Linked DNA regions of Caenorhabditis elegans. The protein of the gene in region 2 interacts with the protein of the main gene of each other region in a pairwise test. Each region holds a gene or a part of one and is shown on either strand. Other genes may lie near its edges.

Region 1 (5,954 bases), on a different chromosome or scaffold from region 2:
GATCGACCGAAGTTCTTCTCAGACTTTCGTGCCAAAGAAGCGAGACAGATGAGGACAGCATTTGGGTCCTGTCCTTCGTAGAGATCAACAGTCTGAAAACAATTGATGTCATAATGTGTTTAGTGAAAGGACAAACCTGGAAGAGTTCCGACTTTTGCACATACTCCTCAGCAAACTTCAGGAAGAAAGAGATGTTCTCCATTTTCTTGAATGCCATGGCAGATGTGTTGACCTTCTTGACGCTTCCTGGTTTCAAAGAATTGGCAAGAGTGCAGAGAAGACTTCCATCTTGAAAAACCTTGACCAAGTTGTCAGCGTCTCCTTGGGTGTCGAAAGATTGGCCAGTGACGTTCTGAAAAATGTTTCAAATCGTGAATCGAAGAAGGAGCATAACTTATTTGTATGATTTTCTTCGTTTGCAATGTAAACATATGACTTTGCCAAGAATCAATAAACGTTTGAAAAGTTTCACAAAATTACCTGAACCCATTGAAGAATTTCTCCGGCAAGATTCTTATCGTATTTCTCGTAGATTTTCTGCTGGGCCTCCAATGCAATTCCAGACTTTTCAGCGCGATCCGAAGAAGCGAAAGCGGACATTTTCTAGAACGAATAAGTTTGAAAGAAAAAAAGCGTATAGTTAACGACGAGAAAAAATATTTATAAACAAAAGAGGTTCTTCCACTCTCCGCTAACCAAAAATGGTGAAATTCTTCTGACTCATCGCAAAGTTTTGGTTCTCCGCCTACGTCTTGCGTTTTTGATAAGGAACATTTGATTGAACGGTGTTTGATAAAAAAGAATTGGAAGAGTTTAATCGAAAATAGCCCAAAAATAACAATTTAAGAGTGCTCTCGGGAGAAAACTGCCGGTTTGAATGAAGATATGAGAAATGTGCTCAGGAGCGCTCCTAAAATTCAGGCGGTCTTTTGTAGTTAAAGGAACATTCAAGAGGCAACAGTACCGGGTCCCATAGCGAAACAAAAGTTTGTGGTGATCGCTAGATTTTTGTGTTTGATTTTGAAAATACTGTTCTTTTTCTCCAACATTAAAAGAAGATGTTTTAAATAAAATTCAGCAAATTATTAATATTTCATTGTAAAAATAGATTTTTAGAACTTTCTCGAGCTCGAGGCACTCAAAATAAAGTTACTTTGGTTCTATGTCGCAATCTAAAAAGAGCGATAAAAAAATGAAAGCTACATAAGCATGGAAAAATTTTTCAAAAAGAGATTTTGCAGCTCAAATAAGAAAACTACGATCTAATATCCTGGTTTATAAAAAACATAAAACTAATGAAAGAAAACGAAAACTACTTCTTGAAAGAAATATTACCGGTACAGAGAGTGTAGATAGTTAGAGAGTGACAGACATCCGGGACCCAATGGGGCGGGCGCGCGGAAGAGACGATTTGTGTCGATTTACGAAATGATGACAACGAGGAAAATTTCGTAAATCGGCACAAATCGTCTCTTCCGCGCGTCCCGCCCCATTGGGTCCCGGATGTCTGTCACTCTCTAACTATCTACACTCTCTGTACCGGTAATAGGACACTTTGCAAACATGCATACAAACACGCCAATGACCCTTTTCTAATTAAAAACGCAAAACCACTTTTCAAGAGTCGACCGATCGGAAAAGGTGGCGATCGACAACACACTCCTCACAACATGATGACGAAAACCTTGAAAAGGAATAGAAAAAAACAAGGACGAATGGTGAGCGGCTCGTTTAGGTTGAATGCATTTGAAAAATATGAAAACGAGAGTCGATATGGGAATTCTCAATAAAACATTTGAAAGTCCGAATAGGAGAGGTTCACAAACCAAATGAGGGGAGAAACGAACCGTCTGTTGGTTTTTTTTGTTTCGAACACACAGTTGTGTTTGTCCTTTGCATTAGCTGGTATGACGAGAACTTTGAACTTTGGCGTTGAATAATTGCTACTGCAACACGTATTGTACTGGTGTATTTTAATCGCACAATTACTCTGAAACATTTTTTATTCTTAGAAAACAAATAAATAGAAATCGAAGTACAAAAAATTGGGATTTTCAGGAATGTGCAAGCTTTTTCAGTTCTTTCGCTTTTTTGTTGCAGGTCTCTCAAAAACTGGTCTGGATCCTCCGGCTCTTTTCGTGGAGAATTGAGAATTCAACTGATTCGTTGATGCCCAAACACCTTGATGATCTGTTGTATCTTCTTCTGTCAAGTGCGTATACTTGGTTCGAGATGCTTTTCCAAAGTTTTTGACCTGAAATAAATAATTTAGTTCAATTATCACTATAATAAGTTACGAGTATTTACCTGCATAACTTTCGGCAGAATAGTTTTATCAAATTGATCATCGTTGGTAGCTTCGGCAAAGTTTCTCTTGAGTACTTCATCTTCTTCATCCAAGAAGAAAGCTCCACGATGGAAATATTTTTGAAGGAACTTGTATTTTCCTTTGTCCTGTTTGTTAGTGATAACCTTTGGATTTAAACGAAGATATTTGAGTCGTTCTTCCTCGGACATTGCGTGAATCTTGTCAAGTTCTGCCTTCTCGCGTGCGGCTTCTTCACGTTCGTCACGGTTTCTCTGCAAAAAAAAATTGGATATCGGATATTATAGTGAGAATTTTTTTGAGAAATTTCTATGTCAATTTATTAAAAAACTCAAAAAAAAAACTTCGAAGATCTACATTCAAAATTTTGCAGCAAAAATTTACCTTCAATCGTTTCATTTCTCTGAGCTTCCACGCCTCATATGCCATATTTTCAGTTTCATCGTCGGTTAGAACAGATGACAAATCAACACGATCTTCTGTTTTTCTTTTCTCAGCAGCTTCTTCCTCTTGAAGAACCTTTTCAACTAATTTTGCACTTTCTCTCTTCCGTTCTTCAGCTCTTTTTTCGTCTTCGATCTTTTTCAGAATTTCTTTTTCTTTCTCCTTCTCGGCTTCTTGCAAAGTGATACGATCCTTCTTTCTTGTGAAAATAGGCTTCAATCTTGGAACTGGATCGTCATCTTCATCTGAATCTTCCTCTTCACTACTTTCTTCTTCTTCCTCCTCTTCAACATCATCTTCTTCAAGTTCTTCTTTAATTTCTCGTTTTATTTCTTCCTCTCTTTTAATAGCTCTATCTCTGAGCATTTGACGTCTTCTTTCAAAATCTTCTTCATCTGATTCAGCACTGTCTTCTTGTTCTTCATCTTTTTCTCTGTTATTTTCATGTAATTCCAATCTTCTCATTCTGGCTCTTTCTCTTCTCTCTTCTTGTTTCTCTTCGTCTTCTTCAGATTCCTGTTCATTTTCAGATGATTCGTCCTCTACTTTTCCAAGAACTTCTGGCTTCTCCACCTGTCGTCGTCTACCATAATCTTCGTGTCTTCTGTGGCGTCTTCTATCTTCTTCATCACTACTTTCACGACGTCTACGTCTTCTTCGATCATCATCTCGATCTGTCTCTCGGTCTGATTCACTGCTGTCACTGTCGTAGTTACGAGCATATTCTGGTCTGAAAATCAATGTTTTAAAGACTAATTCAACCATTAAACGAAAAAAAACTTACGCCTTTCCAGCCACATATCTTGAAACTTTCACTTTCTGCATAACAGTTTGTCCTTTCTCATTTTTGATTGGAATGGCTCCAAGAGTCGGAAGACGCGAATGTCCGAAACTTCGATTATCGCTTTCGCGTTGTTCAAATCCAGGTACATAATCTCCCATTCTGAAAGTTATTTTTAAAATTAACCCTTTTTAATTTCGGCAAAAAATAGTCAGAAACAATAAAGAGTAAATATGTAAAATTTTTAATTGAATTTTTCGAAAAAAATAATAAGCATTAAATTGCTCGTAAGTTATAATGCATAAAGAGTACCTCACGTGGTGTATGCAGACCCAACAGCACATCTTACGACAGTCTCGTTTACGAAAATATTTTCAAATATCAATTTTGGCCAAATTTTCTTGCTAAACGCTCATTTTTTTCTTTTTTTTTTACTCAAAACGTTTTTCAGAATGTTCCGTAAACCAAAGGCAAAAGGTGCTATTCGCCAACGGAAATCTGACGGATGGGATGAACCTGATGCTGAAAACCAACAAGTAGTCTCGGCTATCGAAGTGAGTTTTAATGAATTTCAACATTCTTTTTAATTTAATTTTTATTTAAAGGTCAAACAACCTGCTGTGCCTCGTCCAGCCATGAGTTTCGATGCTGATGAAGGAGCTGATTCGACGTTCAAACTTAAGAAAGACAAGAAAAAAGTTGAAGAATTGAAACGTCAACACAAACTAGAGGAGGAAGCTGAAAAATTATATAAGGAAGAGAAAATTCGTAAGGAAGCGCTTGATAAAATTGTGAAAAAGGAGAAACTCTCAAAAGAAGACAAAAAGACGAAAAATGAGCGGCATAAATACCTTGACAAATATCGTGACAAATCTGCTAAGCACATTTCGAATTCGGAGAGCTACGAATACGAAGAAAATTTGGATATTGATGCAGAAGCAATTTCATCAGTTTCCAATAAATTCAATTCTGCTTTTGAAGGTATTCCCGACTCTCGTGCCGTTTTCGAAGCAAAAAAACGCCGAGAACGAGCCAGAAGAGAGGGAAATCAAGACGGATATATTCCTTTGGATGACACACAAAAACTTAAATCTAAAAGTGAACGAAATCGATTGATTCGAGAAGATGAGAATGATGATTCGGATGAAGAGTGTACAAATAAATTCTATTCGGCTCGTGAGCTACTTCGAACAGAAGAAGATCGTCGTAGAGAAGAACAAGAAGGATTTTTAGAACGAGAAAATGGAGATATTGATGAAGCTGAACGAATAAAAGGTGATGATGATAGTGAAAATGAGGAATGGGAAAAACAACAAATTCGGAAAGCTGTTAGTCGGAGAGAGGTGAGCTTTTTGTGGTAATAGAGATCGTGAATCTGAAAATTTAAAAATTATAGATAGGCCAACTGCGAACAGAAAAACGAAATACTTCTAAATTATTTGGGCATACAGTTCCTGTTGAAGATGACACAGCAATGGATATGGATATTGATCTTGATATGGATGTTCAAGTAATTGGAAAACCGGAATTTACTGGTATATTATTTTGTTTGAAGACAAATAATTTTAATTAATTTCAGGACCATCAAATACCGGAGGAGTTGTAAAAATTGAAGATATTCTTGCTAAATTAAAATTGCGGATTCAAGAACGAGATGAAGCATTGAATTTCAGAAAAGAAGAAAAACGAAAATTGGAGCAAAATATTGAAGAAAACAAATCAATGATTGCAAAGGTAACAAGTATTTCAATAATTATATATATATATCATTTTTTAATAATTTCAGATTGAAATGGAGCTTCCTAACCAAAGTACCAAATACACAATGTATCAAGAATTACGAGTGTATTCCCGTAGTCTTTTAGAATGTCTGAATGAAAAAGTTGGCGAAATTAATTCGATTATCGATAAGAAAAGAGATTGTGGGAAATCCAGGACTTCAAGACTCTCGGTACGTAGAAGACAAGACATGAGGGATCAACATGCAGAATGTATGCAGGGAAGAAATGCAAGAATGGGTGAGGCCGCTGGAAGAGCAGCAGAACGTGACGCCAGAAGGTACGTATTTTTTTGAAATAGTTTAATTGACAGGTCTGTGGGAAATCTGTCAATATCAATATCTGTGCTTTCTAAAAATAATCATAGCTGAAAATGATGGGTCTCGGCACGAATTTTTTTTACGAATTCAGAAAGTTTATAAATTCTAAAACTTTCCGAAAATGTAGAACAAATATTTATGGGATTATTCAAGTAATGTAGCAAAATGTATTTAAGTACATTTGTGACGTCACAAATGTATTTAAATACATGTTTTTATCTACTTGAATAAGGTGACGTAATTTTTCTACACTTTTTAATTTTCCGACATTACTTGAATAACCCCATTAATTATACTTTCAACCA
Region 2 (6,778 bases):
ACAAAATTCACCCGAAAATTTGGATTTTTAACGATTTTCAGCGAAAAAAAAAACCGGAAAAAGCCAAAATTTCTAATTTTTCCGAAAATCTCGCTCTGCAGAAGCTGGAAAATCACTGAAATTTGACAAAAAAATAGCGGAAATTGTACATTTTCCAGTTTAAAAACTCAAAAATTACAAGCTTTTTGAGCTGAAAAGTGTGTAAAAATTCATTGAAAAGCTAGATTTTTGTGCCTTTTTCGGTTATTTTTTGTCCATAAAAATCTCAAAAATTGAGCTCTCGGAGCCCGGGAAAAGCTGAAAAATGCTCCTTTTCAGGTGGATCGTGAAGCCCGTAACCAAGTGGTGATTCTTCCAATCAAATATACAGATGGAAGTGATAATAATGACGTCACCATTGGTGATAAGACGGCTTCTGGAACAGTTTCAGGGGCTTCTGCTGGTGGTGGTGGAGGAATCGAATCGGGTGATGAATCTGAAGAAGAAGAAGAAGAGCTGGAGGAAGAGCTGGAAGAGGAGGAAGAAGAAATTGAGGAATAAGGTGAGATTTTCCAGAAAATTGAGCTGAAAATTCGAATTTCCCGCGATTTTTCGGGAAAAAATGATCAACAAATCGTGATTTCAAGCCAAATTTCACCTTTTTTAGGCCGGAAATCAATTTCCCCGAAATTTTTCGTTAAAATTTGGTGTTTGCGGGCTTCTGGAGCTACAGTAACCTTATGGACAATCGAAAATTCAAAATTTCCACAATTTTCCGTAGAATTCGGTGTTTGCAGACTTCTGAAGCTACCGTAACCCTTATGAAAATTGAAAATTCAAATTTCCCGCAATTTTTCGTAGAATTCGGTGTTTGCGGACTTCCGGAGCTACCGTAACCCTCTTGACAATGGAAAATTCAAATTTCCCGCAATTTTTCGTGAAATTTGGTGTTTGCGGACTTCTGAAGCTACCGTAACCCTTATAAAAATTGAAAATTCAAATTTCTCGCATTTTTTCGTAGAATTCGGTGTTTGCGGACTTCTGAAGCTACCGTAATCCTTATGAAAATTGAAAATTCAAATTTCCTGCAATTTTACGTAAAATTCGGTGTTTGCGGACTTATGGCGCTACCGTAACCTTCGAAAAATTCAAATCATTAAAAAAAAGCTGCTACAGTAACCCGTAATTTTCCGTAAAATTCGGTGTTTGCGTACTATTGGCGCTACCGTAACCCTTTGAAACAGCCAATTTTTACTGAAAAAAAAAGCGGGTTTCGCAATAAATCCCCCCTTCCCAGCAGCTTATCACACTCCGCAGATCTGATAGAAATCGAAAAGTGTGAAGAGACAGAGATCTATGACGCAACTGTTGTGGGGAAATCCGAAAAAAGCGGAATTCAAGGACATTTTGGGAATTTATAGCCGAAAATTTCGATTTTTTCCAATTTTTATGGGTTAGTGTAGCCCCAAAAATACGCAAAAACACAAATTACAGCTGAAAATTTGGATTTTTCGCTGGAAAAGTGCCAAATTTGCACCTAAAAATCCAGTTTTTGGGCCATTTTTCCTCCTGAAAATTCAATTTTTCAACTAAAAACCGAGCTTACAAGTGATTTTTATCCTGGCAATTCATTTTTTTTCGTCTAGAAAATCAATTTTCCAGCTGTTTTCTACAGTAAAACCTGGTTTTCCGAAGCTTTCCCCCTCGAAAAATGAGCTTTTAAGGGGGAAAAGCTGTAATTTTCGTCTGGAAAATCGATTTTCTAGCAGTTTTCCCCCCGGGAAATTGGCATTTTGAGTGATTTTCAAGCCAAAAAACTGGGCTTCTGCTGTAATTTTTGTAGTTTTTTGACTTTTCCGCGGTTTTTCTAGTGGAATCTCAATTTTCCAGTAGGTTTCCTACCTTAAAATTGCAATTTTGAGTGATTTTTTGACCCTAAAAGGTTGATTTTTCACTGAAATTGTCAATTTTCAGCCTTTTTTTCAGCTAAAAATCGAATTTTGAATCGTTTCCAGCTGAAAAATCAAAGTTTTTACCCATTTCTCTGTCTGAAAATCGTTTTTCCACTCCAACTTTGACATTACACTAAACTTTTGTGGTGAAACGCAGAGAAAATACGTAAAATATTGAATTTTTCAATGTGATAACGGTCTCTTATCAGCCGAAAAACGTACATTTTGACGTAGTTTTTGAAAAAAATCAGTTGAAAATTGGGGTATTCCTCATTGATTTTCTCGCGTGTTTTTGTGCTCAAAATTGCTCATTTTGCTCGAAAATTGAGCATTTTTTACACTTTTGGAGCTGAAAATTCTCTGAAAATGGCTCCAGGAGCTCAAAAATTGACTTTTACAGCTGAAAATAGTCTTCAAATTTCAATTTCAATGACTATTTTTCCGAATTTTTGAGCTCGCAGAGCCCAAAACCTTCAGGAAAATTGAAAATTTCCTTGAAAATTCCACAAAAAAGTAAATTTCGACACAAAAATTTCTAGAAAAAGTAGTTTTTATAGCTGAAAATCGTCTTAAAAATTCGATTTTTAGACTATTTTTCCAAATTTTTAAAAACTCTAGGAGCCCAAAAAGAGCCCAAAAACCCCCATTTTCTCTCTAATTTTCCCAAAATTTTTCAGATTCCTCACTGCCTGCGCCTCCGCCTACCTACCTACACACATCAATCTCTCCTCCAAATAACCAGTTCTCTTATCAAATTGTTACTTTTTTTGTCTGTTTTTCCGCCTGTTTTTTGATGATTATCGATTGAAAATCGGCCGATTTTCACCTTTTTTTCACCCAAAATTTGTTGATTTTTTCATTGTTATTTTCCTTTTATTTTCCTTTTATTTTTATTGTTTTCTAATTTTTTTTGCAATTTTTTGCAATTTTTCTCCCCCCAAAAAACGTGAACTTTTTTATCAAAAATATTCAACTTTTTTCTTTTTTTTTTCTCTCAAAAAATCTGGTCAACCAAGCCCAGTTTAAATATTTTATTTCGATTTTTCCATCTCTTTCAAAATGACGATTTTTCGCTGGATTTTTGGATATTTTTTCGGATTTTGCAGTGGGTTTTGTAGCCACAGCTTTTTCAAATTTAAAACCAGAAATAAAGCGATATTTTCCAGGCACCGCTGGCCGTATCAAGGCGGGAAACGAGAAGGAAGTCGAGTTTAAGAAACGAAAAATCGTCAAAAATCAGCCGAGAAATCAGGAAAATCAGCCGAAAATGGAGCCCAACACAATGCTTGCACATAGTGAGTTTGGAGGCGCGAAAAATCGATAATTTGCGTGAAAAATCGATCATTTCAGTGAAAAATCGATAACATGCGTGAACAATCAATAATTTGCGTGAAAAATCGATAATTTCAATAAAAAATCGATAATTTCAATAAAAAAATCGTTAATTTCAGTTAAAAATCGATAATTTTATTGAGAAATCGATAATTTTAATTAAAATCGACTATTTGCGTGAAAAATCGATAATTTTGATTGGAAAATCGATAATTTCTGTGAAAAATCGATAATTTTCAGTGAAAAAATCGATAATTTCAACTGATATTATCGATTTTTCGTTGAAAATTATCAATTTTTAATCAAAATTATCGATTTTATCATTGGAGCGCACTGGCTGTCCCGCGAAAATTCAAAACAATTACAGTAACCGCCGCCCGTGGCCTCTACATGAAGAACAAGTCATCACTGGACGCCTACGCTACAGTAACCCTACAAGGAAAAGGATCATTGCGGAGTCGATGTTCGACGGATGTACTGAATACAGAAGGAGAATGTCGTTGGGATGAAGTTTGTGAATTGTGAGTAGTGGCTGCTCCGAATGGAAAATGAGCTCGAAATTCGGATTTCTCGTGATTTTTTATGTCGGGGACTGGATTTTCGGAAGATTTGGAGCTCCTGGAGCATTTTGGAACTTTAAAATTTGATTTTCCCGCAATTTTTCGTAAAATTCGGTGTTTGCGGACTTTTAGACCTACCGTAACCCTCTAGACAATCGAAAATTCAAATTTTCCGCAATTTTTCGTAAAATTCGGTGTTAGCGGACTTCTGGAGCTACCGTAACCCTTTAGACAATCGAAAATTCAAATTTTCCGCAGTTTTTCGTAGAATTCGATGTTTGCGGACTTCCCGACCTACCGTAACCCTTCTAAAAATCGAAAATTTATATTTTCCGCAATTTTTCGTAAAATTCGGTGTTTGCGGACTTCTGGAGCTACAGTAACCCTTTAAACAATCGAAAATTCAAATTTCCCGCAATTTTTCGTAAAATTCGGTGTTTGCGGACTTTTAGACCTACCGTAACCCTCTAGACAATCGAAAATTCAAATTTTCCGCAATTTTTCGTAAAATTCGGTGTTTGCGGACTTCTGGAGCTACCGTAACCCTTTAGACAATCGAAAATTCGGTACTAGTCTGAAATCACCCCGCCACTTTTTTTAATCATTTTAATATTATCCATTTTAATAAAACGTGATGTCCATTTTCCATCTTTAGGCTTAGAAATGGTTATTTCCTAAGCCTAAAAATACAACAACTCCACACGTTTTTATTTGAAAATTTATTTAAATTTAAAGAAAAAAAAGTGGCGGGGTGATTTCAGACTACTACCGAAAATTCAAATTTTCCGCAATTTTCCGTAAAATTCGGTGTTTGCGGACTTCTGCAGCTACCGTAACCCAGTCGAAAACGAAAATTTTGTAGAAAATTCGCAATATTTCCAATTTTCCAGCAAACTCTCGGACAAGTTCAACTCGGTGGTGGTTGCAGTTCACGCCAAGGCAAAGCTCGGTACAAATGAGCTCATCGGCCGCTGTGAGCTCGAACTCGAGAATGCAAAGATGCTCCACGGACAAACGAATTGGCTCCGCCTTAAAAAGAAGACAAACGACGAGAAATATCGAGGAGAAGTACAGATTAAGCTCGAGTTCAACTACGAGAAGCCATCGATGAGTGTTAGCTCATTGTCGTTAAATCAGATTGGAAATGAGCAAGAAAGTGAGGAAATTCACGTCGGAAATGCTCGCGGAGCATCTTAAAAGCCGGGAAAATGTCGGCTCTGAGAGCCCAAATAGTGTTTGCGTAATCCTGGAGCTACCGTAACCCTCGAAATTCGATTTTCTGTGAAAATTTCGAATTTCGCGGGTTACGGTAGGTCGAGAAGTACGTAAACACCCATTTTTTCGGTCGAGATTTGAATTTTCAGCGGAAAAATTCATAAAAGCGTTCAAAAATCGATATTTGCGGGCTTTTCAGTCAACCGTAACCCGCGAAATTCAAATTTTTGAAAAAAATGGAGTTTCGCGGGTTACGGTAGCTTCAGAAGTACGCAAACACCCATTTTTCGGTCGAGTTTTGAATTTTCAGCGTAAAATCGATGAAATGACTTAAGATTTGGTCTTTGCGGAATTTTCACTCTACCGTAACCCTCGAAAATAAAATTTCTCGGAAAATTTGAATTTCTCGGGTTACGGTAGCTCCAGAAGTACGCAAACACCCATTTTTCGGTCGAGATTTGAATTTTCAGCGGAAAATTCATAAAATTGCTCGAAATGTGCTCTTGCGGGATTTTCAGTCTACCGTAACCCAAACATTCAAAATTTCTGTAAAAATTCGAATTTCTCGGGTTACGGTTGCTTGGAAAGTACGAAAAACCCCATTTTGCCGGTCGAATTTTGAATTTTCAATCAAAAAGTTCGAAAATTGCATCAAATTTGGTCTTTGCGTACTTCTGGACTTACCGTAACCCAAAAATTACAAATTTCTGTACAAATTTGAATTTTGCGGGTTACTGTAGCTTCAGAAGACGCAACCACCAATTTTCTCGGTCGAATTTTGAATTTTCAGCTTAGAATTCATAAAATCGCTCAAAATTTGGTCTTTGCGGGCTTTTCAGTCTACCGTAACCCTCGAAATTCGAATTTTCATAGAAATTTGGAATTTCGCGGGTTACTGTACCTCCAGAAGTCCGCAAACACTGAATTTTACGACAATTTTCAGTTTTTTCATTAAAATTTTGCCCATTTTTCAGAGTCTTCCAGTGGTGGCGGTGGCCTAATGTCGAAAATGAAGCGAAAAATCACACAAGCCAAAAATGGACACAAAAAGGCCGAAGATACAATGTCAATGGCCTCTGCGTGGTCCGCTACGAGCAAAAAATCGACAATTTCCACAAAATCTGGCAAATTTTTCGGCAAAATTGGCTCCAAACTGGGCCTAAAGGATAAGGAGAAGCCGCTGCCAGTTGGAACATTCCTCACGCCGATGGATAATCATTTGGATGGAGGAGGAAATGATTATGACTCGACGGGACGGGGAACTAGCCGGAATTCTAGGTACTAGAATTGCGTGGAAAAATGAGAAGAAATGGACAAATTGGAGGTTTTTGAGTGAAAAAATGGGATTTTTCGACCATTTTGAGCATGAAATCGGATAAAATTGGAAAATCTTGAGATTTTCAGGTCAAATTTGGCTCTTTTTTGAACTTATTTGCTCTAAAATGAAAATCGAGGCAAAATTGCAATTTTTCCCGCAATTTTTCGTAGACTTCGGTGTTTGCGGACTTCTGGAGCTACCGTAATCACGGCCTCCTGCGCGTGAAATGCGCCAAGCGCACGAAGAAAGCGACGCGCTGTGACTTCTCTGCGTCTCCACTCTCTCGCGCGTGACGATAGAGCTCATTTGAAGTGCGTGTTTCAAAGACGGGAGACAGTGCAAATTTTAAAATAAAAATATGAAAAATGAAATGAGACGGTTTTTTCCAGCATTTTGACTACCCAACGAGATTTTACGGTTCA

The links.
Region 1: the proteins of rfip-2 (region 2) and mfap-1 interact in a two-hybrid assay, tested with the Caenorhabditis elegans proteins (one study listed by BioGRID).

What each region holds. Positions count from the first base shown.
Region 1 is NC_003279.8:8,636,524-8,642,477, forward strand, and holds mfap-1 (Microfibrillar-associated protein 1), read right to left. Parts: upstream 3,714-5,954; 5' UTR 3,713-3,713; coding exon 3,555-3,712; intron 3,501-3,554; coding exon 2,711-3,500; intron 2,581-2,710; coding exon 2,308-2,580; intron 2,255-2,307; coding exon 2,075-2,254; 3' UTR 1,991-2,074; downstream 1-1,990. Other genes in the region: cpn-1 (Calponin-homology (CH) domain-containing protein), read right to left, coding at 1-92, 137-352, 481-600; mog-7 (GCF C-terminal domain-containing protein), read left to right, coding at 4,004-4,105, 4,157-4,894, 4,948-5,086, 5,131-5,285, 5,338-5,609. UniProt on the Caenorhabditis elegans protein: Involved in pre-mRNA splicing.
Region 2 is NC_003280.10:720,798-727,575, forward strand, and holds the start of rfip-2 (FIP-RBD domain-containing protein), read left to right. Parts: upstream 1-2,990; coding exon 2,991-3,036; intron 3,037-3,097; coding exon 3,098-3,226; intron 3,227-3,630; coding exon 3,631-3,784; intron 3,785-4,713; coding exon 4,714-4,979; intron 4,980-6,012; coding exon 6,013-6,316; intron 6,317-6,778. Other genes in the region: T02H6.1 (WD_REPEATS_REGION domain-containing protein), read left to right, coding at 319-540.